2 linked regions of the Rattus norvegicus genome follow. The protein of the gene in region 2 interacts with the protein of the main gene of each other region in a pairwise test. Links are inferred from orthologs where the notes say so. Each region holds a gene or a part of one and is shown on either strand. Other genes may lie near its edges. The genes, in order: Pex3 and Pex16.

Region 1 (14,369 bases), on a different chromosome or scaffold from region 2:
GTATGCTTCTGTGTTCTCAGTGCTCCACTCACGTTTTTTGTTTGATTCACTTCATTTCTTCCCTTCCCCACAACTTCATTGTTATAGACCATGAGGCAGCCGACAGGAACTTCAATATTCTCGAGTGCTTCTTTGGCCTGAAACACAAAGTGGAAAAGCTGAGAGGTGCCGCTCAGCGCTCAGAAGGCTGTGGATAAAAACAGACGCAGTGGGAACCGAGGGGTGGACAATGACCTGGGCAAACAGACACAGCTGTGCTTTCCCCGTCTCAACGCTGGTGTCTTTGGACTGTGATGTGCTGTGTTCTCTGCTGGGTGTCTGTGTTAAGGAGAACTCAGGGATGTCTCCCTTCCCAGGTCCTGCGCCTCATTTTCTCTCACCGAAAGTCTGAGTAATCAATGGCTTTTGACCAGTGTTCCTAAAATACCAAGGCCGCCCCTTCTCAGAGATGATACCCATATTTGCAAAGAGGTGGGAGAATATATAACATGTGTAAATATTTGGCTATAATACTTTGCCTTGATAAACTTCTACTTGATTAATTCTTTTAAGCTTCTCTAAGATTGTAGATATGATCCCATAGAGTATCAATACCATAAAAATGATCAGACTGGATGTCACTCTTTCCCACAACTTTTATTCTAAGAGACACATGGAAATTTAGGGATATTTTATGTAACGATGACACCAACTTGGAAAATACATTGGAAGTTTTTAAAAAAATAAATATTCACAAAAATCTATGATCCATGTTGCACGCACGCATACACACACACACACACACACACATACACACACACACACACACACACACACACACACACACACATACACACACACACACACACACACACACACACACACACACACACACACACTAAGCTGATGAGACTTTAATAAGTTCTTCAGAGTCTTCCAATGAGATTTCCCTGGTTCTGATAGTGAAGCAACAGTTAGACAAGGTGTGACACTGAAGAACATTGAATGCCTGGGCCCTCTCTGTGCACACTTTTTGCAGTTTCCTGTGGCTTACAATTATGTAAAAGGGAAAAGTCAGTAACTGAGCTAAAGAAGGATGTAGCAAGCCTACTGATGAAGAGTCAGGCAGATCTGTTGACTGTGTAGAAGACCCTAGGAAAATGCAGGCCAAAAAGAAAGGCGGTGTCAGTGGTGTCAAGGCCGAGACAGAGGAATTTCAGGTGGAGCGGCGGAAATGAAAAGCAATGGCTTGAAGAAATGACTTCCCAGGGCTCAGATTTTCAGTGTTCCACTGTACCTCCCAACAGAACTCTTAAGAGGTAATGCCATGTCTACATCTCAAGATGCATAGGTTGAAAATCTAACTAGCTGTGTGTGTGTGTGTGTGTGTGTGTGTGTGTGTGTGTGTGTGTGTGTGTGTGTGTGTATGCACGCATGTGCATGGTTTGGTCTGGGACTATTTTGAGCATTTTGTAACTATAAATTCCTTTCGTGTATAATCCGAATGTGATAGGGGCACTGAGCATCATTGGATAAGGAAACCAAAGCAGGGAGGTCAAATAACTTAGCCATCTAAGACATCTGGAATAAAAGTCATTACTCCATTAATAGTTGGAACAACTATTAGTGTCAGGTGCTGGGTTCTTTGCATCGCTCTCTCTCTCCGAAGCCTCTTTAGTAACCCGTTCGGCTTCACTGACTAGACCCTTCATCAGAGTTTTGGTTCGGAGGAGAGGGAGTAGTAAGAGGGAGGGATGCGCGATAAGGCTTCTGGTGAGCCTGCATCCTGGACCACTGAATGCGATGTCAGGAGATACAATGCCAAGAGCAGCTCCGAACATACAGAAGAGAATCAAAGACTGGGCCAGCAAGATGGCTCAGCAGGGCTTGCTGTGAAGGCGTGAGGATGAGTCCCATCCCCAGAACCCACAGTGGAAGGAGAAAAATATCTCTCCTCCCAAAAGTTGTTCTGTAGTCCTCAGACACATGCGAGCACACACACAGATGCACCCTCTCCACACATACACATGCACAAATAATAACTTATTTTAAAACTCCCCAACATGGTAGGAAGCACATAGGTAGGGAATGCCTAAAGCATTATCCACAGTGCATCCGACATGCTCCAGAACACTGCTTGTCTTGGCAGCCTTTCTCTGCTCCCAGGTCAACAGAGTACTGGGCTTCTTGGTACCTAGTGCCTCTGGGTCCTCTCTTTTTTTTTTTCCTTCCAGCAAAATTTATCTCACTAGAAGTGACAGGATTACCTTAAAGAGACATAGAACATAATTGATAAGGCACGACTTGTAGGCCAGGATGCTAGGGAGTAGCTGAGCAAATGGAGTGGCAGTTGAGAGAAAGTGACGCCCAAAGAAAGCGGTCTGTGGAGGTCGATTTAGAGGAATTGCTTCCCAGTACACATACACATACAAATGTGCATGCATTTCCTCTACTGACAAGTTCAAAACTCGAAGCTGAAAACCCACATCCAATCTCAGATTTTCCAATGCCCCTCCCAACTCTTCCAGTTAGTCCCTTTCTCTTGTCACAAATGCAAAAGAGCTGGGTCAAAATAGGTCTAACTGGGTACATGGCTTTGAACTTAAGAAGCTAGCCTTCTTTGGAAGAGGTCAAAGCTCTTCCACTGAAATGGAAATGGCGACTTGGTCTTCCTTAAACCAACAAATTCTCAACTCAAGAACAGAAGAATAAAGGCTCTCTTCCTCCCACCCCAGGCTCTGAGAAAAATGACCAAAAAAAAAAAAAAGGTTAATTAAAAAAAAAGAATGAATTATGCTATTTTGGGGGAGGGGGCGGAGAGCATGTTTCTGTTTTCACAGGGACAGAAATATATGAAGGGTGCTTACAAAATATCAGCAGGGCTATCTCTGAGGTCAGGGCTTTTAAGTAACTTTTACATAATTTGTTAAATGTTCTAGACTTTAATTTCTTATCAATGTGAACTTCCGTAACCATTAGAAGGAAACGTTGAAAATTTCAATTTTGTAAACGAATAAGCAAAAATAACATCCCTACATCAAAGGCTGAGCTTAGTTTTTAAGGCCTTCACAATGATGTAAACAAATTCCATGATGTTCACAGAATGAAAACCCAGCATCAGAAAGACTGTGCATACATACATATATATCCTTGCCGCACATCAATATGGGTAATAAGCTTGGAAAAACATGTAAATACGACCAGGGCCCTCCATAATGAGCAATCCTAAAGGGATTGCGGGAAGGAAATACAAGGGCAGAGAAAAGTACTATAGAAAGCGTAAATACATCATCGGTGAGGATTATACTGGGGTATGTTTTGATATGACCCTCTTCCAGAAACATCAGCTTCCTTCCATTATATATGTTCAAGGGCGTCGGGAGCAAGCCATAAAATAATGTGGAAAATATGTGTCCACATGGAAAGGAAGGTAGGCATTTGGGTAGTACGTATCCCCAGGCAGCAGCTAAGGCTCCCTGTAATACATACTACACATCAATCAAACAGTCTCTGTAATTTCCCTCAACTCCAATTACTATGAGACAAAGCTAAAGAAAATTCCTCTAGAATAAAACAAGCTGTTGCTTCAGGTATTTTGAGAGCCCATATATAATGGTGATGAGAAAGCGCGCCAGGCACATTTGCTCAAACTACTCTGGTCAGGATGTGGCCGGGAGAAAGTTTGCACTCTCGGCATCCACCTGCCGGGTTCCTCACCATTCGCATCGCCTCCTCCATCCACTTTTCGGTCTCCTGTACGGACACCACGCACGAGCCGTCTGGAACAGTGGTGGACTCCACTTTCTCTTCCATATCGCCTTCTCTCAGAGACTCCGGGCCAAGGGACTGGAGGAAAGAGGACAGCGGAACGCGGCGGGCGCGGGCCCTTGCTTCCGGGAAGACGGAAAAGGGCGAGGCACCCGGGAGCTATTTGCGGACGGACCCAGGTCCGGATCAGTAAGCCGGGGCTAGGGGACCGTAAGCGTTGCTGCTCCGCTGTAGTCCACGCCCCCTTCCTCCGCTCTGGCTACAGCCTCTGCGCAAAGAAACGTTTGGGGTTTCTGAAGAGCACCTAGCGCCGCCACCTCGCTTCTGCCAGAGATCCGGGCCAGATTGACGGAAGACACGGTTTCCTGGTGAGCCAGTCCCTCTCCCCTAGGCAACCCACACAACCCGGGGTCTGAAGATGCTGAGATCAATGTGGAATTTTCTGAAACGTCACAAAAAGAAATGCATCTTCCTGGGCACAGTCCTTGGAGGTGAGTGACAACACGGTTTTAGAAGGGGCCATTGGCAGAAAGGAGTGACAGGTGACATAAAACAGACAGGGCCCCCTGATAGTAGTTCTGGATTTGTCGAAGGGATTGGCCCAACTGTCAAAAAGTTCTTTTATCTTCCCTCTCTGTGCCCTTTACCCCTCATTCTGACCCTGTCCTTTTTCCCTCACGGGCCTTCAGGAATCTACCCCCAATGAAGTTTATTTTCAAAGCACTATTCTCGTATAGATACATTGCCTTCCAATTCTCTTCTTTGCCTTCCTGATAGATTTTTCTTTCTGTTTGTCAACTCTGCTTTCAACCTTTCACACGAGTTTCGAAATATTCTAGGGCAATTAGCTTAAGTCTGCTCTTTGATGCGGTGTTTAAAGGTACATTAAAAACAGCATGTTGCTGTAAGGTATACAGTAGATAGTCTCCATTCCCAAATTTTAAAATACAAAGTATGTATCAACACAATGCTTGACTGGGTTATTCTGCAGTGTTGCCAGGACTGGCAAGGTTGTGGTCATTGTCTTTTTGGTGATACAGTTGAGTTCACTGGCTGAGAGGAAAGTTAGAAACACCTAGGATAAAATATCATGATGCTGGAATTGTAACATTGTGGTAGAGCACTTGCCTAGGCTGACTGCGTTGGATCCCAGGGAACTAGCAGCACACACACACACACACACACACACACACACACTGCTTTAAACCCTTTGTCTTGGTAAGACAACCCTCAGTTCATAATTAAAGGTCTTTAAAGAAGGGAATCTTTTGAACAACACAAAAAGGAAGTTTAAAAAAATTAAGTTTTAAGAAATGTTATCACTATATATATATGTGTGTGTGTATGTATATATATATATCTTAAATTATATCATAAAGTGACTTAAAATATTAGATCATTAATAAGGCAATGACCATGTTCTGCATATCTTTAAGGTATAGCACAAATGGCTAATAGTTAATAATCACCCTTAGGAAATATTCTATAGATAAAATATGTTTTATATTACCTCTATTCTCTAATAAATTGTACCCATATTGTAGAATACATATGTTGAAGATAAAGTCGTATGTGTCATGGAAGACATATTAAGAAAAATTTTTGCTCTACCTAAGTAAAGAAAATTGTCCCTAGCAATTTCAGAGAAGAGAGCCTAACCCTTATGGTTTATGAAGCAGTTAATGACAGATCAGAAATAGTCATAGGAGAAATTAAAGAGTATGTGGTTAAGTAATAAGTTTTTTTTGAAACTCTATTGAGAGCTTTATAATTGGAGATTAAGAGGAAGGGAAAAAACTGGGAGTGGTGGCACACACCCTCAATCCCAGCATTTGTAGGCAGAGGCAGGCAGCTCTCTGAGTGGAGGTGTGGTCTATACAGTGAGTTCCAGAATACCCAGAGCTTCATAATGAGACCCTGTCTCAAAAAACAGAAATAGGTAAACAGAAAACAAAACACAACAACAACAAAAGGGAGGGGGAAAGATTCAGAGGTGTAGTGGAAACACTGTTGGTTTTTAGCAAAATAGAAAGTTTTGAAATAGCTGAACTTAACCTTTTTTTGTACAGAGTTCATATTTTTCTGTATTTTGAGGAAATTCCTATCCTACATTTTAAGAAATATTTATTAAGTGATTATACTGCTGGGGACAGTATGATTGAATAGGTATAATATATGTATTTTTAATCATATATTTATTAGAGACTCACTGAATGTTGAACAGCATACTAAGTTCTTTCCAACTTCTGGAAATGACAGCAGGATACTTATTATTTGGCCATATTTTAAATGTAGAAACTAGAGTTCCCACACCCTAAGAAACTTGCTAAGAGTTTGAGTTACTAATAAGGAAATAAGAATTCAATCCCAAGTGTGTTAGATCCCAACACATATTATCATTCATTACTCTACTACTCTGCCTTAGCAGATTGTTTAATGTTTAAAGAATGAAGAGATAAGTAAAATACTGTTTACAGACCACGGTAGAGTTGAATACAGAGCCCAGTAGTATGCAGCAACCTGGAGTTACTTAAAATGAGGCAGATTTCATAAGAGGAGTGACACATTTTGGAAGCTGATTAAAGTGTTATTATGCATGATCAAAAGAGATATTTAGTGCTGGAAAAACACAGCAAGGCAGAACTTTGAGTTGTGTGGCTTCTAAAGTCAGAATTCCTTCTTCCCTACATTTCGGATGGTAATTGCTGCTTGTCCATTCACACAGTTAGACCGCTTGAGGCGGGAGAAGAACAGTGGTTCTCAAACTGTTTGATGGGAAATCTTTATACTATTAGAAATTAAGAGCACCCCCCCCAACAGCCTCCTGAATTCTATATCTACTTGAGAATTTAAGGTTAAAACCAAAGGTATTAGCTCATTTAAGGTAACAACAATAAGCCTATTAAATATTAATATGAAACATTTTTGGAAATTAGTGAGAAGAATGGCATTATTTTACAATTGCAAAGGTCTTTAGTTTGGCTTAACTGAAGAAAGCTAAATTCTCATCCCTTCTGTAGTCATGTATGATGCCTCCCATTAAATAGCTACTAAAATCCTCCAGTGAACACTCAGGATGCCAGTCCCAACATCTCAGTATGACACAAATATTTGTGGACCTCACGGATCCCTAAACTGACCCCAGGGATGCCAGGACCATACTTTGAAAACCACTGGATAAGCGAAAGTGTCACAGAACAGAGGAACTGGATTCCCACTTAATATCTGGTGATTTTTTAAAAGCACAGAACATGGAGTTATATCTTAAGCCTTGGAATTTTTAACCTCTTTAGGGATTTTTTTTTTTTTGTCATTTATCGACTTTCCGTTTGAACAAGAATAAGGCCTACTCTAACTCTACTGGGCTATAGTCTGGAGAGCATACATGGAAATAAAGTAATCCACACTGTGAATGCCTTCCTTACTATGCCATTGTGTGTAATGCGGGCAGGATCTGTGTGCACTTGCTTCTCAGTCTTTGCTATGGATGAAAACCATTTAAAGTGCTTCAGAAAAATATAGACTCCTTCCTTCAGATTCTATTTCTTCAGGTGTAGAGTATAGTTCAGGAACGCCTCAATGCTGAAATGGAGATGTCACCAAATGGACAAGTTCACTACTCAGCACTGAAAAAAGATTGAAATAGAATGCAAACATTAGAAATTGGGAATCTGCTTGATTGGAAGCAATGTTGATGGATTATTTTCAAATTGTTATTGAAAGTAGTTGTGCTATAGGAACTTTTCTCCTGGAAGACAAAACTAAGAGATGGTTTTAAAACAAATGATTTATACAAAGATATTTTGCTTAACTGGCCATGAAAGGAAACATCAAAACATTTTCGCTTTTTTTTTTTTTTGGTATTTAGTAGATATTTTAATTGCTAATAATGAAGATTATTGTAGCTATACTACAGAGGAAATTTACAGCTATTTGATTTTACACATGAAAAAGATGTCTATGCAGAGGAGTAAGCTGCCTGCTCCAAGTCACCTCACCAGCTGGCTGGTTCACGTCACATTGCCAGTGAAGCGGAGGCAGTCTTAAGTCTGTCTTAGCTAATGGCAGTTTTCTTTCTTTCATTAGTGTTTCCTAGAGAAACATTAGAAGAAGTCAGTTTGTGATTTTTATATATGAGATCCTAAGTGAACTAGACCTTGACTCGAAATATCAGTGCTAACTCAAGAAAAACAGTTTGTCTAGGACTTAAGCCCAATTTCATGTGTGACTTTTCTAGGGCTTCCATAATGAAACCTACCAAGTGAGAAACTTACAAAACTAAAATTCATCTTATACTTTTGAAGTTAATAGTCCTGATCAAGGTGTCTGTGGGTTTGTTCCTTCCGTCCTGTGAAAGGGATCCTACTAGGCTGTGCCATGTGGTGGCCATCTTGTTTCACACTGGCTTCTGCAACTGAATACTGACTGCTGGAAAGCCACAGAGAACTTCCAGAAGCCTTCAAATTGTCTTTCCTTTGTACATATCTCTGTCTACCTTTTACCTTCCTCTCAGGACTGGCCGTGTGGGATTGAGGCCCACTGATCTCACTTTGTATTGACCTTTTGTTCTCAGGTTCAGTATATCAGCCTGTGGCACGGGACAGCAGTGCACACAATTAAGCCCATTCTAGCTTTAGCTAGAATATACTGCACTTACCAAGTAAAGAGTGTCACATCAACGATTCATTTTGCAACATAACTTGAGAGATAATAATCACTGTGTGTGTAACCTTCAGTAATATGTTATGGAGATAAGGTACAAGCAGTATGTTCAGAACTAGGTGAACCAGAATTGCCTGTTGGAGGGTCACTTTGCTAAATTTAAGTCAGTTTCTTCATTCTCTTGGGATCTTTGTGGTGAGGGAAGGGGAATAGGTTCTCACAGTATATCCCAGGTTCCCCTCAAAATGGTAAAAAGCCCTCCTGCCTCAACTGGACTTATGGGCATGAGCCCCATATGCCTCTCTTATTCTAATGGCTGTGCTGCTGTGATGTTACAGAAAAGACAGCCAATGAACAGCATTTATTGATTTCTCTTTGCTCTTGGAGCTTAATTATAATGCATGTATTTGTATGTGTAGTAACAACAACCATACTATTCCTATTCAGCACACAATTTTATGGAACCATCTAAAGATACATAACATCTTAAATCATCCACAACATCTGATTTAGTGAAAATAATTTAGGATATATTTGCTTTGCAGCTCCTGATGTCTACCTTGTCCTTGCTTGTGAGAAACAGACCTAATCCAACTATGTTAGGCATAATTCTTGAGGCCTTTTAGGAGATAGTATAAGCCCCAGACAGAGGAGATAAATGAATGATGGTTAGCCCTCTGAGCCCTTGCTGCTAGGATTTATAATGAAATCAAGCTCTGGCACACATTGATACTTATTAGCAAACAAAAATGAAACAATAACACAGCCTCTTCTATAAGCTTGTTGAATTCTGACCTTTGGCACTATGACAAAATCATGTACCCAAAACAAAGGCAACTCTGTCATTGCTGTAACTTGTTGGATTTGGAGGACTTTTCTGGGTTCCAGGTTAAGCCATCCCTGAGGAAAAAGGCCTTGCGTCCATGTTTATAGAAATGGTACTAAAATGTTTCAGCTCATCAAGTTCTTAAACGCTTACTGAAATAGTCCGTGAATCCACTTCTGCTATCCATTGTACTGTTTAGTAAACCCTCTGATGCCAATCCGAGATAGTTAGTTAAAACAAGCCATCTTGTGTGGGGGACTGCCTGAGGAAAGTAGTGGAGCACAGGAGTGGAGAGAAGTGAGAGTGGGGAGCAGGGCAGTGGTGACTGTGATCTCAGTGCGCTGTTACATGTGTGGAACTGACCAAAATAAAGGAGATTCGACTGCCGCTGCATCCTCACCACGTTTAACACTGAATGCTCATCAGATTCCCAGTTAAGAAAACCAATGGCCACTCACCCAGTAGATGACAAAAATGCACCCCCTTACATCCTGTGCTGAAGACCACACAACCCTGCCATATTTTACACCGTTGTGTTACGGTGCTGTCTTCCTGTTTCCTTTGTCATTTGAATTAGTAGTTTGTAGACAGCGTAAGTTATATTTTCTTATTTTCTCAGATGTTTTTCTAATACAGGGGTGGATAAATGCATGTCTTCCTGACGATATACCCTTCTCTCATTCCTTTAAATCTTTTACTGTAGAGATTTTTAAAGTTATGTGGCCATTGACGACAACATGGAAAATATAGAAAAGCAAACACAATCGCAATTATCACAGTTTATCTTACTTTAGAAATTAAGTATGTACTTTTCTGTGTATCTGTTCCATTAAAACACAGACTTCCTGGATGTTATTTTATCACCTAATAGTATGAGGTAGATCTTTCCTCGACTCATTAACTATTTAGCAATGTGGTTTTTAATAACTACATAAGATACCATTATGTGAACAGATCATAATTTATTTAAATAACCCTCCGTTGCTGAATGTTTAGAATATTTTCAATTAACTATTAAAGATGCTGCCAGACTTTATAAATCCAATGCCTTTCTGCTTCTTGTCTGTTAATGTCTTCTTTTTTTACTAGCTATATTAAAATATATTATATGCATGTAAAATAAATAAATAAATATATAAGTAAACACTGTATCTCCTTTCCCTTTTCAGTTCTTTAATAAAAGTCTTTTAGAAACTGTATTTTCAGCTTGTCCCTAGTATCAACCTCATGATTTAATCAAAAGTGCTTAAAATATTGGTTAGAATTTTTAGTACTCCAGTTAATATACTACTTTGTTTTGTTTTGTTTTGTTTTTTAAATGACTTTTAGGAGTCTATATCCTGGGAAAATATGGACAGAAAAAACTTAGAGAAATACAAGAAAGAGAAGCTGCAGAGTACATTGCCCAAGCTCGGCGACAGTACCATTTTGAAAGTAACCAGAGGACTTGCAATATGACAGGTAAGCAGACGCATATATGTATCTATGTTAAAGTGCTTGTTGGTTTGTATTAATTCATAGCCTCAGGCTCCAGTGTATGGGAAAGATGAGGAACGTGTGATAAACCTACCCAATAGTCCTGTTAACAGAGATATGTAATTTCCACGTGAATTTTTAAAGCCGTATAAATACTCACTTATGCATTCATTCAGCAGATATTCACAGTGCCTGCCCCTGAGTGAGTAGGCAGTAAACAGAGTAAGATCCCCTGAGCTCCAGCAGGTTCTAGTGGAAAGACAGCAAACAGCACAAAGGTAACCTTAGGCTGCAGTGGACCCAGTACAGAAAGGAAAGCTGGGAGGAGTGGACACCTCTGCAGAGTGTGGTCGGGGGCTCGTGCCTCTGACCAGATGGCCTGTGCTGTAAAGTCTCATGGTACAATATGGAGAGAAAATGCCTGAGAGGAGAACATGCTAGAAACATTACAAGAACAGCACACAGGCACTGCAGCAAGGGAAAGCAGATGAGTGCTAGGAAGCAAAGCTGTGGAGAAAGGCCTGACCCACCCATGCGGCCTCGTAGGTCACAGCACAGAGCCCAAAGCCTATTAGGTCTCCAGCAGGACACTGTAGGACATAAGCATTCCGCGACAGTGTCTGCTCAATCACTTAATTAATGGTAATAATGTAACTACCAGAGCCAGAAACCTACTGGGAAAAGGCCACAATACAGTCAGTCTGCTCAGTTTGAAGAGAGTAAGGAGTTAGGTTCTAACTGGGGTGATGCCTGGAAAACCAGTTTCTCAAATCTACGTCAAGTCTGCTCCTTCTACTGTTTAAAGCCTGTTTTTTTCTCTCTGACATTTCTTTAAAGGCTACCTTAGAGGGAATTTACAAAGCTCAGTGTATCTCATTCCGCTCTACGAGTAGGCTTTTCTCTAGATCCGAGAGGACCTTATTGCTAGCTCACTTACCTCACGTTATAGAGGAAAAGCTAAGGTCAAAGAGAAGATAAGTTCACAGCTATATGCGAGTTTATTTTTGGGTTTATATAGGGTTCTGTGAAACCCTATTCAGAAGTACTGGCCATAATGACAGCGCATGCGCACAGCCAGGATGACTGGGGCTCTCGGGAGGCTGATACCACCAGATCAGTTTCCAGTTTAAGTTGTATAATCTGTGTTCTTTGGGCTAATCTGAACCTCAGCTCTTCCTGTAAAATGACCTTTATAAAACTTCCTTCAGAAATGTATTGTGAAGGACCCGGGATATAGCTCAGCTGGTGATGGTGCTTGCCTAGCACGCACAAAGCCCTGGAGTTTGATCCACGTCCTAGCACTTGGGACACTTAGGCAGGAGGACTGTTTGATGGCAGCAGGGCCATATAGCTAGTCCCTGTTTAAAGTAGAGAAGTAGTGTGTGAGAAGACAGTGAGATTCCCCACATAAGATGCTTGGCACATAGACACTCGGCGCGTGGACTTAAAAATCACCTTGAACATGCGGTGCTACTGAGGACATGTCAGTGAGTGGTGAGAGAGTGTGAAGTCTGCTTCAGATGATTGTGCAAGTTTTCACAAAATAGTAAAAGGTCACTTTTGGGATCTCAAAATACCTCTCACTTTGGCAAAACCCTGTGTCATATTGCGCCTCCCAGAATCAAATGGGAAGATGTACAAGCAATGCTTGGGGGAAATGCCTATGAAGAATAGTAGAGAGGGAGGAGGAACAGGAAAGAAGGTCTCTGACACTTGGGGAAGGAAGAAGTGGAGGTAAGAAATACCAGAGCCAGGCACAGTGGTCCATACTTTTAGCCCCAGAGACTAACAGAAGGCAGAGACAAACAGTTCTTTATGGGTTCAAGGCCAACCATGTTCCAATACAGCTATAGTGAGACTGTGTCTAAAAAATTAAAAGCCTGAAATGATTCTTCCCAGTCTAAGAAAGCTTGGTGAGTTACCAGGTCCAGTTCCCTGGTAGAGGAGTTCCCACAAGAGTACTCATGGGCTAAGAGATGTGAACACAGTAATGAATCTGCTGCTTCATTTCACTGCTCTTAGAAGGTGGAGCTGACGCATGTCGTGACCACCACAACCCTCAGCAGATACCAGACTGCAGACAATTAAAAATAGCATAGCATGAAGGTAAAATACAAGTTCTCTAAAAAGCTTGACAAACTAACTTCCTGGTATGCATTTACAAGAGGATGCAAATAATGTGATTAGCCCTCTGACTTAGAAATCTTTGATGGGCAGACCGTCGGCATGGAGGGCTTCAGTTTTCATCCAGGAGAGGTTAATGTCAGTTTATGAGGGAATGCTTCAGGGGTTTATCCTTTTCCTTTCTTGACTGAGAATTTACTGAAGACTGAGGAGAGAAGCTCATTACATTTACACATGGCCTGATGTTTATTTGTGTAACTGATATCACTAATAAAGTTTCAGAATACAAAATACATTTTGTTTTTTGGACTGTGATAGATGAATTTTTTTGTGTGATGAGTCAATTTTACAGATTCAGAATGATGCATAGTATTTAATGAACATTGGAAATTCAAACTGAAAATAAACTGTAATGAACAAACAGTACATTATGACTTCTAGAAATACTAACTTCAGTAATTGGACTGTAGTAATGAATTGTGTGGTTTGGGTAGAGGATCACAGTATACTATGTGGTAGTCAAGATAGTGCATCCCTGCCTCTTACTTGCTAAGAAGATTCTAGATTATGTCTTTAGAACGCTCTCCCAAAAAAGAACGGTAACAGTAGCTTAGGCTATTTCCATGAGTGAGTCAGTACTTTTGTAAATGTTGTAAGTACCTCAATCCCCACAGCAGTCCTACAGGACAGGCCCTGAGTTACCTTCAACTTACAGATGAGAAAACGGAAGTACAGGTTCCAGCCTACACAGCTTCTGCAATCTGTGTCTGGATCAGAAATGTTTAGCATAGTGGTGGAGAGATGGCTCAGAAGTTAAGAACTCAGAGGACCTGTGTTTGGTTCCCAGCATCCACATGGCAGCTCATAATCATGTCTAACTCTAGCAGCAGAGCATGCAACGACCTTTTCTGACCTCCACTGGCTCCTACACATACACTGTACATGGATATACATTCAGGCATGCACACACATACATGTGAAATAAATAGAATTTTTTAAAATGTTGTAGAGAACAGACGGCTGAGGACACAGAAGTTTATCTGCTCAGTGTTCATACAGATGGCTGGGGGAACAGGATAATCAGAAAGACTTTTCAAATTAGGTTGTTACACCCCATAATTGTCAAACTAGCTCTCCATGAACTCCATTTTCTGAATATAGGCCTTTTTATTTGTTTGTTTCTAAGGTAGCTTACACTTTCCCCTTATTAGTCATGAAAAATTGATTCCAAAATCTGAGGATGTTCAACTAGTCCATTAAGTGACATAGCATTTTCAGTGGCCTGTAGTTACCTGTCTGTACACTTGGAATCACTTCTAGAGTACATTCACTGTAATAAAATGTGAGTGGCGGTTGGTGTGCTGTTTAGGGGATAATACCAAGGAAAAAGAAGGCACATGTCCAATACAGACACGATTTTCGAATATTTTAGTCTGCAATTGTTTGAATCTGTACGTGCAAAGTCTACAGATACAGGGACTGTCTAGACATATACCAAGCCACATATACCAAGGTGACATTCTCATGTTTGAGC
Region 2 (15,164 bases):
GCCGCGCAGCCCCCGCGCGCCGGGCTACTGTCTGCGGGTAGCAGCGGTAGCGCGGGGAGCCGGCTGCAGGCGGAGATGCTGCAGATGGACCTGATCGACGCGGCAAGTGACACTCCGGGCGCCGAGGACGACGAAGAGGACGACGACGAGCTCGCTGCCCAACGGCCAGGAGTGGGGCCTTCCAAAGCCGAGTCTGGCCAGGAGCCGGCGTCTCGCAGCCAGGGTCAGGGCCAGGGCCCCGGCACAGGCAGCGGAGACACCTACCGGCCCAAGAGGCCTACCACGCTCAACCTTTTCCCGCAGGTGCCGCGGTCTCAGGTAAGACGCAAGCAACCCTGTGCTGAGAGAGGGGGCGGCGCCCTGCGTGGACAGGGAAGACGGAGGGGCGCGGGGCTGTTGGTGACGCCGGGTACCTAGGCGCGCCATGCCTGGGGTGGGACAGGTTTTCTGCTGGGAGGGATAGAGGAAGGACTTGACAAGGAACAGGAAAGTCTGTCCTGGGAAGGACTGAATCCAACTGTCTGGGTATGGAGCCTGCACTGCTAGGGATTTGAGTGGGGAGAGTTGCAGAGGACTAACAAAGGAGTTGAGGTCCTGCAGTTAGGTCCTCTTCGGGTTAGTGCTTCTGTGAAGGTTGAGGCAGCAGCAAGGCCTGGAGAAAAGAGCCTCCGAAATGGGATGAAGGTGGGGATGGGAATTCTGGGTCTGTCTCCAGTTGGACATCTCAGCAGCTGGACATTCCAGAAGGCAGCAATAGAGTTGGGGTGGGGGTGGAGTTGCTTGGCTGAGTTGGGGGCCTAGGGCCCCTTGCTGGTGGCTGGATGCCAAAGAGGGCTCCGTCGACCCATTGTCTTGTAGGCCTAGGCAGGAGAGATACTGGGAGGGAAGGCGCTGAGGAGGTAGGGCTGCTAATGGATGGTGCAGGGGCTGCAAGGAAGGGGTTGGTCCCTTTCCCAGTATCCTCTTGGCATGGCTTCTGGCAGCCCAGCTCATCAATGGTGTGTGTTGCTTATGGCATTTCCTGGGGAGGGAGCCCAAGTTGTGTGTGGAGAGCCTTGTGCATGGGCACTGTTGAGGGTCTCAGGAGGCTGAGAACGTAGGATGCAATGAGCATTCTGGGAGATCCAGGAAGGAGGGCTGCGGATACTACATCTGTCATTTCTCAGTCACATGGTTCAAAGTGGGGGTGAGTGTTATGGAGTCATGGTTTGAATGATTCATCCAGGCCCACAGGCAGCTCCTGGGGAGACCCTTCCTTGTGCCAGAATGTCCTTTCCACTTTGCTAGACCCCAGCTTTCTGAGCTCCAGGACAGGGAGTCAATCACCCTGTCTTTCACCAGGGCTGGGTTTGAGCATGGGATCATGGCTCCCCTCAGTGCCTGGGCTGCTGTGTGGTTCTCCTGGGAGCTGGGCTCTCCCTCCAGCATCTGCTCCTCAGCACCCACACTGGCCAGCACCTCTGCATCTCTTGAGGGTTGTCTCCCAGCCAGCAGGCCTGTAGGGAGGGTGCTAACTTCCCACCCTTCCTGCCTGCTGGAGGGTGGTTGGCAGAGAGGCTTTGGCAAAGCAAGATGGCGTGGGAACAGCCCAGGGATGGCCTGATGGGGGCAGGACCGGGGCCTCCCTGTGCCGGGCACTGCTGACTACTGCTTCTTCATAAGAGCCTTTTGTTCTCTGCACAGGACACGCTGAATAATAACTCTTTAGGCAAAAAGCACAGTTGGCAGGACCGTGTGTCTCGATCATCCTCCCCTCTGAAGACAGGTAAGTCAGGCCTCTCTCTCCCCAAGCTGGGGACCCTGTAGTCTTCACCTGGCTCACCTGGGCTGAGGTCATCTGGGAGCCGGTGGCTGGCTGCAGATCCTGCTGGCGGAGGACAATTGGGAAGAGGAGGGGACAGGTATCTGGACTGGGGTTCTGCCCTCAGCACCAACCTGCCTGTCTGTCTTCTAGGGGAGCAGACGCCTCCACATGAACATATCTGCCTGAGTGATGAGCTGCCGCCCCAGGGCAGTCCTGTTCCCACCCAGGATCGTGGCACTTCCACCGACAGCCCTTGTCGCCGTACTGCAGCCACCCAGATGGCACCTCCAAGTGGTCCCCCTGCCACTGCACCTGGTGGCCGGGGCCACTCCCATCGAGATCGAATCCACTATCAGGCAGATGTGCGGCTCGAGGCGACTGAGGAGATCTACCTGACCCCAGTGCAGAGGCCCCCAGACCCTGCAGAACCCACCTCCACCTTCTTGCCACCCACTGAGAGCCGGATGTCTGTCAGCTCGGATCCTGACCCTGCCGCTTACTCTGTAACTGCAGGGCGACCGCACCCTTCCATCAGTGAAGAGGATGAGGGCTTCGACTGTCTGTCATCCCCAGAGCAAGCTGAGCCACCAGGTGGAGGGTGGCGGGGAAGCCTCGGGGAGCCACCACCGCCTCCACGGGCCTCACTGAGCTCGGACACCAGCGCACTGTCCTACGACTCTGTCAAGTACACACTGGTGGTGGATGAGCATGCCCAGCTTGAGTTGGTGAGCCTGCGGCCATGTTTTGGAGATTACAGTGACGAAAGCGACTCTGCCACTGTCTATGACAACTGTGCCTCTGCCTCCTCGCCCTACGAGTCAGCCATTGGTGAGGAATATGAGGAGGCCCCTCAACCCCGGCCTCCCACCTGCCTGTCAGAGGACTCCACACCGGATGAGCCTGACGTCCACTTCTCTAAGAAGTTTCTGAATGTCTTCATGAGTGGCCGCTCTCGTTCCTCCAGTGAGTCAGTGGATGGGGAGCAGTGTGGGAACCCGAATGGGCCTCAGAGACCATGTAGTCTGCCTGAGAGCAGGACAGAGCTTTCTACCTGCTCCAAGCTTAGGACACCTCCTCCAACCTATTGCCTTCCTACAGGTGCCGAGTCCTTTGGGCTGTTCTCCTGTGTCATCAATGGGGAGGAGCATGAGCAAACCCATCGGGCTATATTCAGGTGAGGGCTGCCTGCCTCCTTGCCTCTGCCAGCTCATCACTGGCATCCCCTCAGCTGCTGGAGACCATATCCCCGTACAGGAACTCCGCTTAGTGGCAAGGACCGAAGTGTCATGAAGAAGCTAGGGCTGTACACCTGGGGGCCAGAGAGATGCCTGCCCCGCATAGAACCTGTGCCCTAGGCAAGGTGCTCACTTTCATTCAAGTTTCCCAAGGCTTTAGGCTTCTGGGAAGCCTAAATTTTTGGATAGCAGACACATGTATCATGTGTTCCTTAGGAGGCAGCACCGTGACAGGTACCTGGGTAATTTGCAAATGTCAGTGGCTTAGGACCCCAGATTGGGCCCCAGATGAGCCGTGCCTCACACGCCTTTGGGACAGGTTTGTGCCTCGGCATGAAGATGAACTTGAGCTGGAAGTGGACGACCCTCTGCTGGTGGAGCTGCAGGCAGAAGACTATTGGTATGAGGCCTATAACATGCGCACTGGAGCCCGTGGTGTCTTTCCTGCCTACTATGCCATTGAGGTCACCAAGGAGCCTGAGCACATGGCAGGTAGTGCTCTCCCCCACTCTGGCCTTCCCACCCCTGCCTCTGCCCACCAACTTACCACAGGTCTTAGCTAGCCAGAGAGAGAGAGAGAGAGAGAGAGAGTAGAGGTGATTCCATTAAAGTTAGTGAGGCCCAGCCAAGTGAGTCTCTGTTGCCTCGGTCACTCTCCACGCTGCCTTCTCCTTGTCTCGGCTCTGAGCCCCTTGCTGATGGCTCTCTTGCTTATTGTATGCTTGCTTTCCAGCCCTTGCCAAAAACAGCGACTGGATTGACCAGTTCCGGGTGAAGTTCCTGGGCTCTGTCCAGGTTCCTTATCACAAGGGCAATGATGTCCTCTGTGCTGCTATGCAAAAGGTACCAACATCTGGGTCCCTGTTTCTTCCTGGGGGTGCCTATTCTCAGCCAGCCCACACTACTGTGGACCTGGAGGCAGTGCTGTGACAGTGGGACAGCTCCCAACTTGACCCTGTCCCTCATGCAGATCGCCACCACCCGCCGGCTCACCGTGCACTTTAACCCGCCCTCCAGCTGTGTCCTTGAAATCAGCGTTAGGGGTGTCAAGATAGGTGTCAAAGCTGATGAAGCTCAGGAGGCCAAGGTGACTTCCTTCAAGCCCCTGCCTTCTTGCCCCATGCATGTCTCCTCCCCTTTATTTCTTGCCTGACGTGTCTCTCCTCTCCTTGTGTGCCTACCCTCCCCCACACTGCATTTGCCCCTCCTGCCTGCTTCCCCCTGCAAGCTGACCATCTTGCTTCTCTCTTCACTCCTGTAGGGAAATAAATGTAGCCACTTTTTCCAGCTAAAAAACATCTCTTTCTGTGGGTACCATCCAAAGAACAACAAGTGAGTACAAGGGGCAGACACGAGAGTCTCACTGGTAGTCTTCAGACACGGTGGGTGGGTAGGACTCCGAATCTTGTCTCACAGATGCCTGCCTTCCACAGGTACTTTGGGTTTATCACTAAGCACCCTGCTGACCACCGGTTTGCCTGCCATGTCTTTGTGTCTGAAGATTCCACCAAAGCCCTGGCAGAGTCTGTGGGGTACGTGTGTGTGTGTAAGTGTGTGTGTAAGTGTGCTGTCCTATCTGTGCTCAGTGTCAGCATCACCCCTTCCCTCTAGTTCTGGAAACCCCAATCCGGGCAGAGGCTGGGAGGTCCTGGGAAGCCGAGGTTCTGGGCTACTTCCTTGTTGATTGGCCACTGCTCCCCTTCTCTTTGGGAAATAACTGCCCACGGACAGCTAGTCTGTACCAGAGACCCAAAGCTCCTCTTGAAGAACCTGGGTTGAGGCTCCTGGTCACTCCTGTGTCCCCCATTTTCCAGGCGTGCATTTCAGCAGTTCTACAAGCAATTTGTGGAATATACCTGTCCTACAGAAGATATCTACTTGGAGTAGCAGCAACCCCCCTCTCTGCAGCCCCTCAGCCCCAGGCCAGTACTAGGACAGCTGACTGCTGACAGGATGTTGTACTGCCACGAGAGAATGGGGGAGTGAGGGCTGTTGGGGTTGGGGGGCAGGGGTTTGGGGAGAGGCAGATGCAGTTTATTGTAATATATGGGGTTAGATTAATCTATGGAGGACAGTACAGGCTCTCTCGGGGCTGGGGAAGGGCAGGGCTGGGGTGGGGGTCAGGCATCTGGCCACAAAGGGATCCCCTAGGGACAGAGGCGCTGCACCATCCTGGGCCTTGTTTCATACTAGAGGCCCTGGCTTTCTGGCTCTTGGGTCCTGCCTTGACAAAGCCCATGCCACCTGGAAGTGTCACCTTCCCTTGTCCACCTCACCCAGAGCCCTGAGCTCATGCTGAGCCCAAGCACCTCCGAAGGACTTTCCAGTAAGGAAATGGCAACATGTGACAGTGAGGACCCTGTTCTCATCTGTGGGGCCTCCGGCAGCTCCGACCTCCAGCCTGGCCAGCACGCTGACCCTGGCAAGCTTGTGTGTTCAAAGAAGGAGAGGGCCACAGCAAGCCCTGCCTGCCAGGGAAGGTTCCCTCTCAGCTGGCCCCAGCCAACTGGTCACTGTCTTGTCACCTGGCTACTACTATTAAAGTGCCATTTCTTGTCTGGACCAGAGTGGGTGTGTTTACTCGGACCCCTGCTGGGCCTTCTTACTGCACATAGGCTATGGAGCCAAGCACTTGCTGCCCAGAATAGCTTTATGCGGGGTTCACATCATAGTAATAGTCAGCCATGTCGGGCCCGTCCCGCTTGCGCTGCTGGGCCTGGGAGAGAAGGGGTCTGGGCCCACCTGGCCTCGGGTGCTTGGGTCTTAGCCCGTAGTCTGAAGAAAGAAGAGGATGAGGGTGGAAACACTGCTTGACTTGGAATGGGGCTGTAGCCAACTCTCAAGAGGCCGTCTGGGAGAGGGAGACATAGGGCTTGGCCCTAGGGGACATCTAGGGACACCTGCTGTGGAGGGTGGGGGAGGGGAGAGAATTACTACCCTACCATCCACCAGGCCTGAGAGAGGCTGCAACAGTTCCAGCGGAGCTGAAAATTCCTCAGGAACAGATCGCTGAGACCTATGGAAAATATTGCTGTGCTGAGCCCTAACCCCAAAAGCCATCACCACTTCTTTATGAGGGACAGTCCGGGGTGAAGACTTCATGAACTAACCCTTCCCAGGATAGTGATCAGCCTCTTCCAGAGTCTTCGAGGCCCTAAGGCTGTGGCCTTACCTCTGGGGCTGAGGTCGAAGGAGTGCGCCTGCCAGGATGAGGTAAAATAGAAAGAGACTGAGCCCAGCCCTGGGGTACAGAACCCCAAGCATGGCGAGAACCATCTCCTACACAGTCCCTGCTGTGCTGGCTACCTGCCCCTCCCCCAACTGGACAGAACCTGGTGCCAATTCTCAGGGCCACCTCACAAAGGACATTAATTCCAGGGTTCAACACCCGCACTACCTCCCTTTTGTGTCCTAGAGAGGACCCCTGTCCTACATGTCCCTGCCAGGACATACCTCCTTTCTGTTCCCGGGACCTGGAATTCCATACTATCCAACTCCAAAGCCCTGTCCATCACTCGACCCCTGGACGCCACCAAACCCACATGGAGTCCCTGTGGTCTGCTGGGGTTATCTGTCTCCTGTCCCAGTGCCTTGGTTGAGCCTCTCCCCTGTCATGCCTAACGTCAGAGCCCCTGCTCACTTTCATGTCTGCCCACCAACCCAATCACCACGAAGTGCTGAAGATCGCTCAACAGCTGCTCTCCCCACTGCCCACCACACCAATCATATGACAAACCCTGCAGACCTTTGCTGGGACCTGCCTAGACCCTTATACCACAGCACTTCCACCAAGATTCCACAGTGGCCGTCCTGCCAGGCTACTGACAACACTGATGGCTGTGGGCTAGAATGTAAGTTGGTGGCTGAGTCCCCATCCAGCTCCAGAACAAGACGACTGGTGTCTGTTTCACAGCCTGATGGGAAAGGAGATTTGCTCTCCTTTGCTATCACTGCAGGGGGCACTTGCCACTGTGCTGCCTGACACTGCTGCCCTCTCCAAGATCCCAGCAGAGCATGTACACAAATGTCCTCTGGTAGTCAGCACCTACAGGGCAGGAACTATGCGTTGCATGGCACCAAAGCCCACTACAGTGCAAGCACCCAGAGGATGCTTGTCGGGCTAAGCAGAAGGGTCACAAGTTCCAAGCTGACAAACCCGACGACAAGCTAGCTGTCTTTTCTACTGCCCTGGCTCACAGCAGGGGTCTGTGACTCTCCGCATCTTGTGGCAAGCATGACAGGTTAAGGCTGGGACCATGAGGGTATCTTGGAGGAGGGGAGACCTGAGGGACAGGGGCAGACAGTGCTCTCCAAAGTCAAGTGGCACCAATGCTGGGAATAGTCCACACAACAAAAGGACAGGAATGAGGTAGCCCTATGGTCCCACAATGAGACTGCCATTGAGTTTGAGGCCCTTGAATGTCTTGTCTGAAAGAAAGGGAAGGCAGAAGAAGAGAGGAAAGGCACGTACTGAGAACAGAAAAGTTCAGGCCACAGTTCTGCCAGGCCCTCCTGTCTTCTCCAAGTAGCCTCCAGCATTCTCAGTCTTCATCAGCTGGTCAGCCTGTAGGAGTGTCAGGGAGGGGAACTCCAGCACACCCCCCAGAAACTGCCCATTTTCTTACAGACTCAGGTTCACACTCTATCTCCTGCCATAGAGAAGAGCTTCTCCTAGGGCTTGCTATTCAGCCCTGAGGGGAAAGGATACATTGAGGCACTAGCTACAAGGAATGCTAGACTATGGAAATCCGTGGCCTAGTTCAGCCTGTCTTCACCAGGGACCAATGAGAAAGAAGCATCTTGTCAGGCAGCTGAGGCAAATGGTGACCCATGCTGGAGAAGGCTAAGTCACAGCTGCCCCCTGGACCTGATGGAGGCCTCCTGCCCAGTGACAAGGAGCAGAATGCAATGGCTCCATCCCAGGAGAGTGCAGATGAACAGCTGTGGTCACTGGGACTGAGGAGCAGAGCTGCCAGGAGAGGTGTGGCTGATGGACACAGAGCCGCGTGCTGGATACTACCAGAGTCACTTTTATTAGAGAAGAGGGGCCTGGGGGGGAATTGGAGGGCTGAGAAAGGCCCTGCTCAGAGCAACAGAGCACACCACGTGGCCCACTCTGGACCAGCTCCTGCGTGCCTGTCAGCCCCAACTGTAGAAATATATTTTCTGCCAGGAGGGCAGGTAGTCCATGAGTGGCCCTGCAATGGAGGGAAGGGGAGTTAGACTGAGTCAGGCCCCTGGCATGCCCTGTGCCCTTTTCTTACACTGCCACCAGCAGAGCAGCTCACAGGTGTACCACCTGCTGCATCTCCTGCCTCTGATGCTGGAGACTAATTACACATAAGAATCCAGGTTTCCAGGGAGCAAGGGGCATGTCCTCCTTTATGGTCGGGTACCCAGATAGGCCCCAAGGCCCCTCCTTGCCTTACCAGATAAGGCTGCCTCCAAATATTCAGGTTCCAGAAGCAGGAGGAGGCTTGCCAACCTGATGTGGCCTAGTAATCCTACACACAAACACTGTTCTGGCCACATCCCCACCTCCATGGGCCACCTTAGGCCCTAGAGCTCCCAGTACTGATTTAGGGTTCACTCTTGACTGCCCAATAATCAAACCAAAAAAAGACAGAGCAAACATTAAAATGAGGCCCTCTGTGTCTCAGGGACATCTCACAACCACGTTGTCCTATCCACACTTACTTGCCACCAGGCCAATGCCAGGGATGTGGTCTGCAAGCAGCTGAAGCAGGAAGAGGATCTTGGCTCTGATTGGAGAAAAGAAACAGCATGCTGAGGGGTGGGCTGGCTCCCTGCTCACCAGGGGCTAAAGACCTTTACTGACCAGCAGGCATTTCAGAAAACAAGGGACTGGGCTGGACCCCAGCACTCCACCTGTCCACAGCTACACCCAATGTTCATAGCGGTCAGCTGTCAGCTGCAGGCATCACTCACACTACTGTCCTCTACTCCCACCCCTCTTCACCTTCCTACTATTGGTTCTCAACAACAGTGCTTCCTAAGGATCACCTCATAGTAAGGTCTGTGCCCTGGCAGTTTCTAGAGGGAAGGAAGCTGGTAGAAGGGCTAGGCTACATAGAGACCCCACAAACCAATGATCAGAGTAGTCAGGGTTCTGGGAAGAGGACAAGGCTGAGAAAGGTCCTCTCTGCCTCAAAGAGAGGCTTGTTTAAGATATGGGACTTCCCACAGGAGAACTTGAGGTGGGAACATTGGAAGAACACGTGTGGGTGGCAGATGTGGTTCAGGGGGAGAACACTTGCTTAGTATGAGGCCTTAGGTTTGATTCCCAGAAGTACTGGGAGAAAGACCTAAGATTCATCACATTCATTCATTATGTATCAAGCATGGGCAAACACATTCAGTTACCTCACCCTACACGGCCTATGAGATGGGCGCCATCACTGACACTGTTTACAGGTGAGAACATGAGCCCAGCCCCTGCTCCAACACTCCACCTTACATCATAGGTGTCCTGCCAGGCCTTTTTGAGAGATTCTCTGGCTAATGCAGGGCCTCTGATCCTCACAGGTGAACAATGTGGGGTGGGCCCAGCAGTAACAGCCTAGCTGGGGCCTGTTCGGTTGCCTAGCCCCTTTGGAGCATAGCGCCTGCTCTGAGAAGTGGATAACCTATAGTGAAAAGAACTAGAGAGGGGTGGTCTGCATGAGCTGTGCCTTGTGGACCTTGTACCACACCGTCAGTAGTCTCTCCACACCAAGTATGCAAGCTCACACTGGCCTGTCTCCTTTGAGGGTAGGTCAGGTGGCTCTGGAGGCTGCTTCCTGGACAGCACCAAAACCAGCAGGTATTCAGCAGACGCCAACCCTCTCCACACAACAGTCCTTACTCAGAGAAGCGGTCATAGAACGGTGAGCGCAATAGGTAGTACAGCAGCAGGATTGTGCGGCGCCTCAGTTCCAGCCGCTCCCTCCGGGTCAAGTTCTTCCTGTCGCTCAGGAGACTCAGGCTGTAGGGGAAGGGACATAGGGACAAGGATGACCTATGACCCTGAGAAGGAAAAAGTCACAGGCTAGGATAGCTGCACAGCAAGCAGAAAGCCCCACGGAACTCCACCTCCTCACCCATTCTCACCTAGTCATATCCACCACACCAGACAGGAGCCAGGGTGCCCACGATCGCTGACCCCATAAGCCCAGGCTGAGCACTGACGGTCAAGATGTCAAGGATGTCTCCAGTGCAGGGTCCAGCTCAGCTCCTCCCCAGCCCGCCTCCAGCACAGCTAAGGATACAGTGCAGCAGGGGCCGGGCGATATACAAAGACTCTGCAATGGTCTCCTGCAGTCCCAGAGGTGTTGGGGGTGTGCTCAGTTCCTCCTGCTGTTGTTTCTGCCGAATTTCCCGCTGCTGGGGGGCTCCCCAGTGCCTCGAGTGCAGGGATGGGCCTAGAACATAAAGACAAGGCAAGTGAGCCAGGAGCCAAAGTGGGTGATGACAGAAGCCAGTCCCTCAGGCTCACACTGACCTCAGCACCTAGGTGCCCAGTCCAGCTACATCTTCCACTTACTGTTCTGGAGGGTTCGCACCACTCTGTTTGACCGTTTTCCCACATATGACGGTTCCGGGCTGCCCAGATTGTGGTCGCCATCTAGCAGGTGTAGACAGGACATAACATAAGAGGGATACATTCCTAACAGAGCCTGTAGAGAACCTGTATGCAGTGAATGCTCAAGGAGCTACTCAGAGAACACAAGAGCCTGTCCTCAGGCAGTGGCTGAACAAGGAAATCACACCCAGAGACTGATCGGCAAGACATGATGGAAGCCCTCGGGAACTGACCCTGGCCCAGAAGAGGCCACCATCTCTCACAGTAAGTCAACCAAGAGCCTAGGCTTCCAAGATACTGGAGGAAGGAGAGGAGGGCCTATCCCATCAACATCTATCAGGGCTATGGGACCATGAAGCCATATTCTTTCAATGTGGGAGGCACATCACTGTCCCTGTTCAAGGTAAGGGGAAAGACTGAGGCTGACGGAGGGGCCCAAAGCAGCCAGGCGCCCTGGCCCTGCCTCTTGAGGCTACGGTTCAGGACACAGAACCAGGACCAAACATTTTGGCAGGACGCCTACCTTGTGCTGATGCTCTATCCCTAGTTCCTGCAGCCCACAACAGAGAAGGAGGATCTTGAACAAGTCCCAAGTGCAGGGACGGGAGTGTAGCTCAGTGGTAGAGCACTTGCCTCACATGTACAAGACACTGGGTTTGAGCGCCAGGATCTCAAACATAACCCCCCAAGTTTAAGTTCTAATTTTCCTCAAATCTTGTCTTTGTCTTCCTTATGGAATAAATGAGTGCTGAGCTGACAGGAAGTGTGCTCCAGAACTACAGAGAAGCCCCACCTCCCACTCCACTCCGGGTAGAGAAGCAGCTTACCCAAGGGCTGTGCCTGGGTCTCCCTGTCCAGTGGCACAATGGGGGGTGATGTCTGAATGCCAGTCTTGAACCAGATCAGCAAGAACATGCGCAGGACTGCCCTAATTGGGGGATTATGGCGCAGTTAGGGGAAAGTGGCTAGAAGGCCGGCAGCAAGGCTGCTCTGCTGAGCACCCTCATTGCTGGACTGGGTCACCCCACCAGAATCCTGCCCTCCACAACCCAACCTACTTGGCCAGCTGGATGAGAGCAATGACGAGCCAACGGCCTACTTCGCCCCACACCTTGGCAGCCCCCATCTCCATGAACACCTCCACACATTCCAGTACACTCAGCCATGTCAGCAACTTCTGCTGGGACAGCGACTGCAAGAAGCCCAGAGGTCAGGGAGCTTCTCTGGCCCCAAGTGCTGTCCTAGAGAAAGAGGGCTGCTCCAGCAGGTGGGGACGTCCCCCTTTCTAAACCTGAATTCAATTCCACTGAGTTCTAACACCTGAGTTCAATTCCACTGCTACCAGGCTGGCTGGCCTGGGACAGGCCTTTCTAGCTCTCTAAAACTTCATGCGTGAGACAATTGGTCTGAGGCTCACGTGGACGTGCCTCACACGCTGAGACTACAACATGGCCACACATGCTGGTCATTACTGTTTTCTTCCCAAGTCCCTGAGCTCCCCACCCTCAGCTCCTGGTAAAATTCTCACCACAGGCAACTTTTTTCGAAGCTCCTTCCGAAGGATCCCGTCATTGAGCAGCACAAGCAGGTTAGAGGCAGAGTACACTGAGAAGCAGAACGTGGTCTTAAGAGGCTGGCTCTGTTGTGGCCTTCACCCCTCTCACCTTTACCCCAGAACTCTACCAATCACAGCTACCCACAGACTGTGTGGAAACCAACAAGCCTCTCCTCCCACCTCCTCAGAGCCCCATTCTCTCCAAGATGACATCTGAGCCAATAAGAAATGAGCTGATTAGAGTGACAAGCCAGCCCTTGCTCTGCTGGACAGCACCGGTTACTGAGCTGCTCAGAACTGCCTGTCATGTTCCAAACAGCCAAGTGCGTGGCCCCACCACCCCCACCTTTGCTCTCTGCAGATGGTCCCCCTGAAGGGCTACATCACACCTCCCTTTCAAAACCTGCCTCATCCTTTCACAAGCTTCACTATCCCACTAAACAAACACTGCTGAGGACTTAAATGGCATGGAGGTTGTGACATTTGAATATTGGCCCTGACAGCAAGGACTTTTCTCCAGCCTCACTGAACTTTCATTCCCTTAACAGAACAACAGAACCTCTCTTATACTTAGAGGACTGATGACTAGCAAGGTCAGGAAAGTTGCTTAATCCTGAGCAAAACTAGTTGCGAATAGCCAGTCAAAGTCCTCACATGTCTCCTAACTCTGGAAACACCAAGTGTACTGGACAGTGGACAGCTGATCTAGAGGGAAGCTCAGGACCTACAGCCAGGGTTCCTCTGGAAGCCTTCTCTCTCCCCAGCCCAGAGTTCAACTCACCCAACTCAGACAGCTCGTGGGAATCGGAGAAGCGACCTAGGGAAGAAGGTATAGAAGGCGTTGGTGAGGCGTTTCTTTTACCCTGCAGCTTTGGGTTTCCTAGTGTCCTATACGCCACAGGAACCTGGACAGAAGTCAAGCACTGTGACCACTACCATGGGTCAGCAGGAAAAGGGCCATAGGGTTCATGGTCAGGGACCCGAAGAAATGGGTCAAAGGTCAGTGTGGTACCTGCCAGCAGGTAACTGAGGCCCCGCACAGCCGTCTCCAGCTGGGCCGTGGCGGCTGGATGACGAGTCACGTACTCCTGGTAGCGTAGGCCCAGAAGCCGCAGCTTCTCCATCCTGCTCTGGCCACCGACAAGTCCCACCGGCCGACAGCACTGCTGGCAGCGGCGCCCTGCGTCCTGAGCCCTCCTTCCTGCTTCCGGCCCTAGGCCCGCCTCCAAGTTGCTCAACTTCCGCAGCCCAGGACTACTTAGACGCGCGGAACCCTTGAACGCCCCTTCACCCCATCTCTAGCGCCTCCTCCCCGCGACTGTGAGCTCCCACCCTCCCTCCTTCCAGCCATTGGCTCCTTCACTCTCCGCCCTGAAGCTCCCTAGAGCCTCCGGCACCCAATCTTCAGCCTTCTTGGTTGGCTGTCTTGGCGCCTGCGCAGTTACAGCTTGACGGCAGCCTAAACAGTTCATACTAGAGAAGGGCGTACGAAGCCTCAGACTTTGTCAGCAGATCGCCGAGAGCTCGAACGGGAGGTTCGGGAAGCAAAGAGCTTGGGGTTTAAGGCACAGGGAACCTCGAAACTGTTGTAAATGGGTCTCAGCAGCCGTCAGTCTCCAAAAACCGGTGCCCGGGAAACAGGCAAACCTAGCCAGCAGATTTAGGACAATGGTTTCGGCTCCAGCTTCTTCAGAACATGTGGACCCCCAAAACCCGTACCCGATGACAACCTACGCGGAGAATACCCTGCCTATCCCTTTGCTCTCCATTTAGGGGTGACCCTGCGCATTAGCTTTCCTGATCTGCACCTCGGGTTTCATCTACAAATTATTTGGGCCCGACTTGGACCTTGAACTCGGAACGAATCCCAGCATTTTCTGGCCCTTGGATGCACTTCCAGGCTCTCAGCTGTGCCCCAAGGGTTGGTGGTAACTCCTAAGGATCCATTCCTGAACAGAGCTACAAGGCTGCCTAGAGTCCAGGTGCTGCAGAAGAGGAGGGAGGGAATCGCTCCTGGGAGGCAGTTGATTGGCTGTGGGAAGAGGGGGCTTGGCAAGTCTGCGCCATTGCGGACTCCCCCCGCGAATATATGGTATACAAAGAATTGTAATACATTTATTTAATACCCTGTAGATATTATCTTCAGACAAGGGCAGAATATGTCCAATTACGCCCCTCCAGTATATTACATGCATGTACGAGAATGTCATATGAAACCCATTATTTTGGTTTGCTTGTTTTAAGACAGGATCTCACGGTGTATCCCTGGCTGGTACAATACATAGAGATCTGCCCTAAGTCTGCCTCCCAAGTGCCGGGATTATAAGGCATGTGCCAGCACAAGAGGCGAAGCACATTGTTTTGTACAATTAGCATACACTAATAAAAATTCTCATAAGGGAGCTGGAGAGATGGGCCAGGGGTTAAGAAATGCTCATTCAGTAATCTTTAAAAGCTGGGCATGATGCTAGAGAGATGACTTGGAATAAAAGAGCACTCGTTTTTGCAGAGGACCCATATTGGTGGCCTGCAACCCTCCATAATTCCAGTTTTAGGGCATTCAGTGCCTTCTTATGATCTCTGCAGGCACAAATGTGATTATACATAAAGACATGCAGGCCAAACTCATATTCACACAATGAAATAAAATTTAAAATAAAAAGCTGGACTTAGCGCCACATCCCTGTAAGTAATTCCAGCACTCTGGAGTCAGTCAAGAGGATGGTTGCAAGTTCAAAGGCAGCCTCTCCCATGTAGTGAGTTCCAGGTTAGCCTGGGCTAGAGTAAGACTTTGTTTTTAAAAATCAAATCTAAGTTAATTTTTAAAGTGCCTGCTGTGTCATGACTGAAATGCTGCTGTGGTCTTAGCCAGAGCAGGGCCATTTTAAGCAGCACACTCACCAGGAAGTCACAACATACCTCCACTTCTTTCCCTTTCTTTTTCTTTTTCCTTTTCTTTATGTATGTGAGGACACTGTAGCTGTCTTC

What was found.
Region 1: the proteins of Pex16 (region 2) and Pex3 interact in binary tests that used the Homo sapiens proteins (3 or more experiments, as listed by UniProt). The link is inferred for Rattus norvegicus from reciprocal best matches to the Homo sapiens genes PEX16 and PEX3.

What each region holds. Positions count from the first base shown.
Region 1 is NC_086019.1:9,764,193-9,778,561, reverse strand, and holds the start of Pex3 (peroxisomal biogenesis factor 3), read left to right. Parts: upstream 1-4,082; 5' UTR 4,083-4,165; coding exon 4,166-4,238; intron 4,239-10,564; coding exon 10,565-10,696; intron 10,697-14,369. Other genes in the region: Adat2 (tRNA-specific adenosine deaminase 2), read right to left, coding at 33-137, 3,697-3,792. UniProt on the Homo sapiens protein: Involved in peroxisome biosynthesis and integrity. Assembles membrane vesicles before the matrix proteins are translocated. As a docking factor for PEX19, is necessary for the import of peroxisomal membrane proteins in the peroxisomes.
Region 2 is NC_086021.1:98,800,977-98,816,140, reverse strand, and holds Pex16 (peroxisomal biogenesis factor 16), read right to left. Parts: upstream 13,397-15,164; 5' UTR 13,301-13,396; coding exon 13,189-13,300; intron 12,994-13,188; coding exon 12,958-12,993; intron 12,227-12,957; coding exon 12,150-12,226; intron 11,814-12,149; coding exon 11,680-11,813; intron 11,550-11,679; coding exon 11,449-11,549; intron 10,664-11,448; coding exon 10,583-10,663; coding exon of another isoform or gene 10,566-10,582; exon of another isoform or gene 10,541-10,565; intron 10,461-10,540; coding exon 10,308-10,460; intron 10,223-10,307; coding exon 10,150-10,222; intron 10,066-10,149; coding exon of another isoform or gene 10,025-10,065; coding exon 9,905-10,024; intron 8,802-9,904; coding exon 8,737-8,801; intron 8,238-8,736; coding exon 8,179-8,237; 3' UTR 8,050-8,178; downstream 1-8,049. Other genes in the region: Mapk8ip1 (C-Jun-amino-terminal kinase-interacting protein 1), read left to right, coding at 10-318, 1,684-1,765, 1,955-2,767, 2,903-2,978, 3,359-3,531, 3,773-3,882, 4,010-4,126, 4,301-4,371 and 2 more; Frey1 (protein Frey 1), read right to left, coding at 5,690-5,814, 5,982-6,055, 6,212-6,315. UniProt on the Homo sapiens protein: Required for peroxisome membrane biogenesis. May play a role in early stages of peroxisome assembly. Can recruit other peroxisomal proteins, such as PEX3 and PMP34, to de novo peroxisomes derived from the endoplasmic reticulum (ER).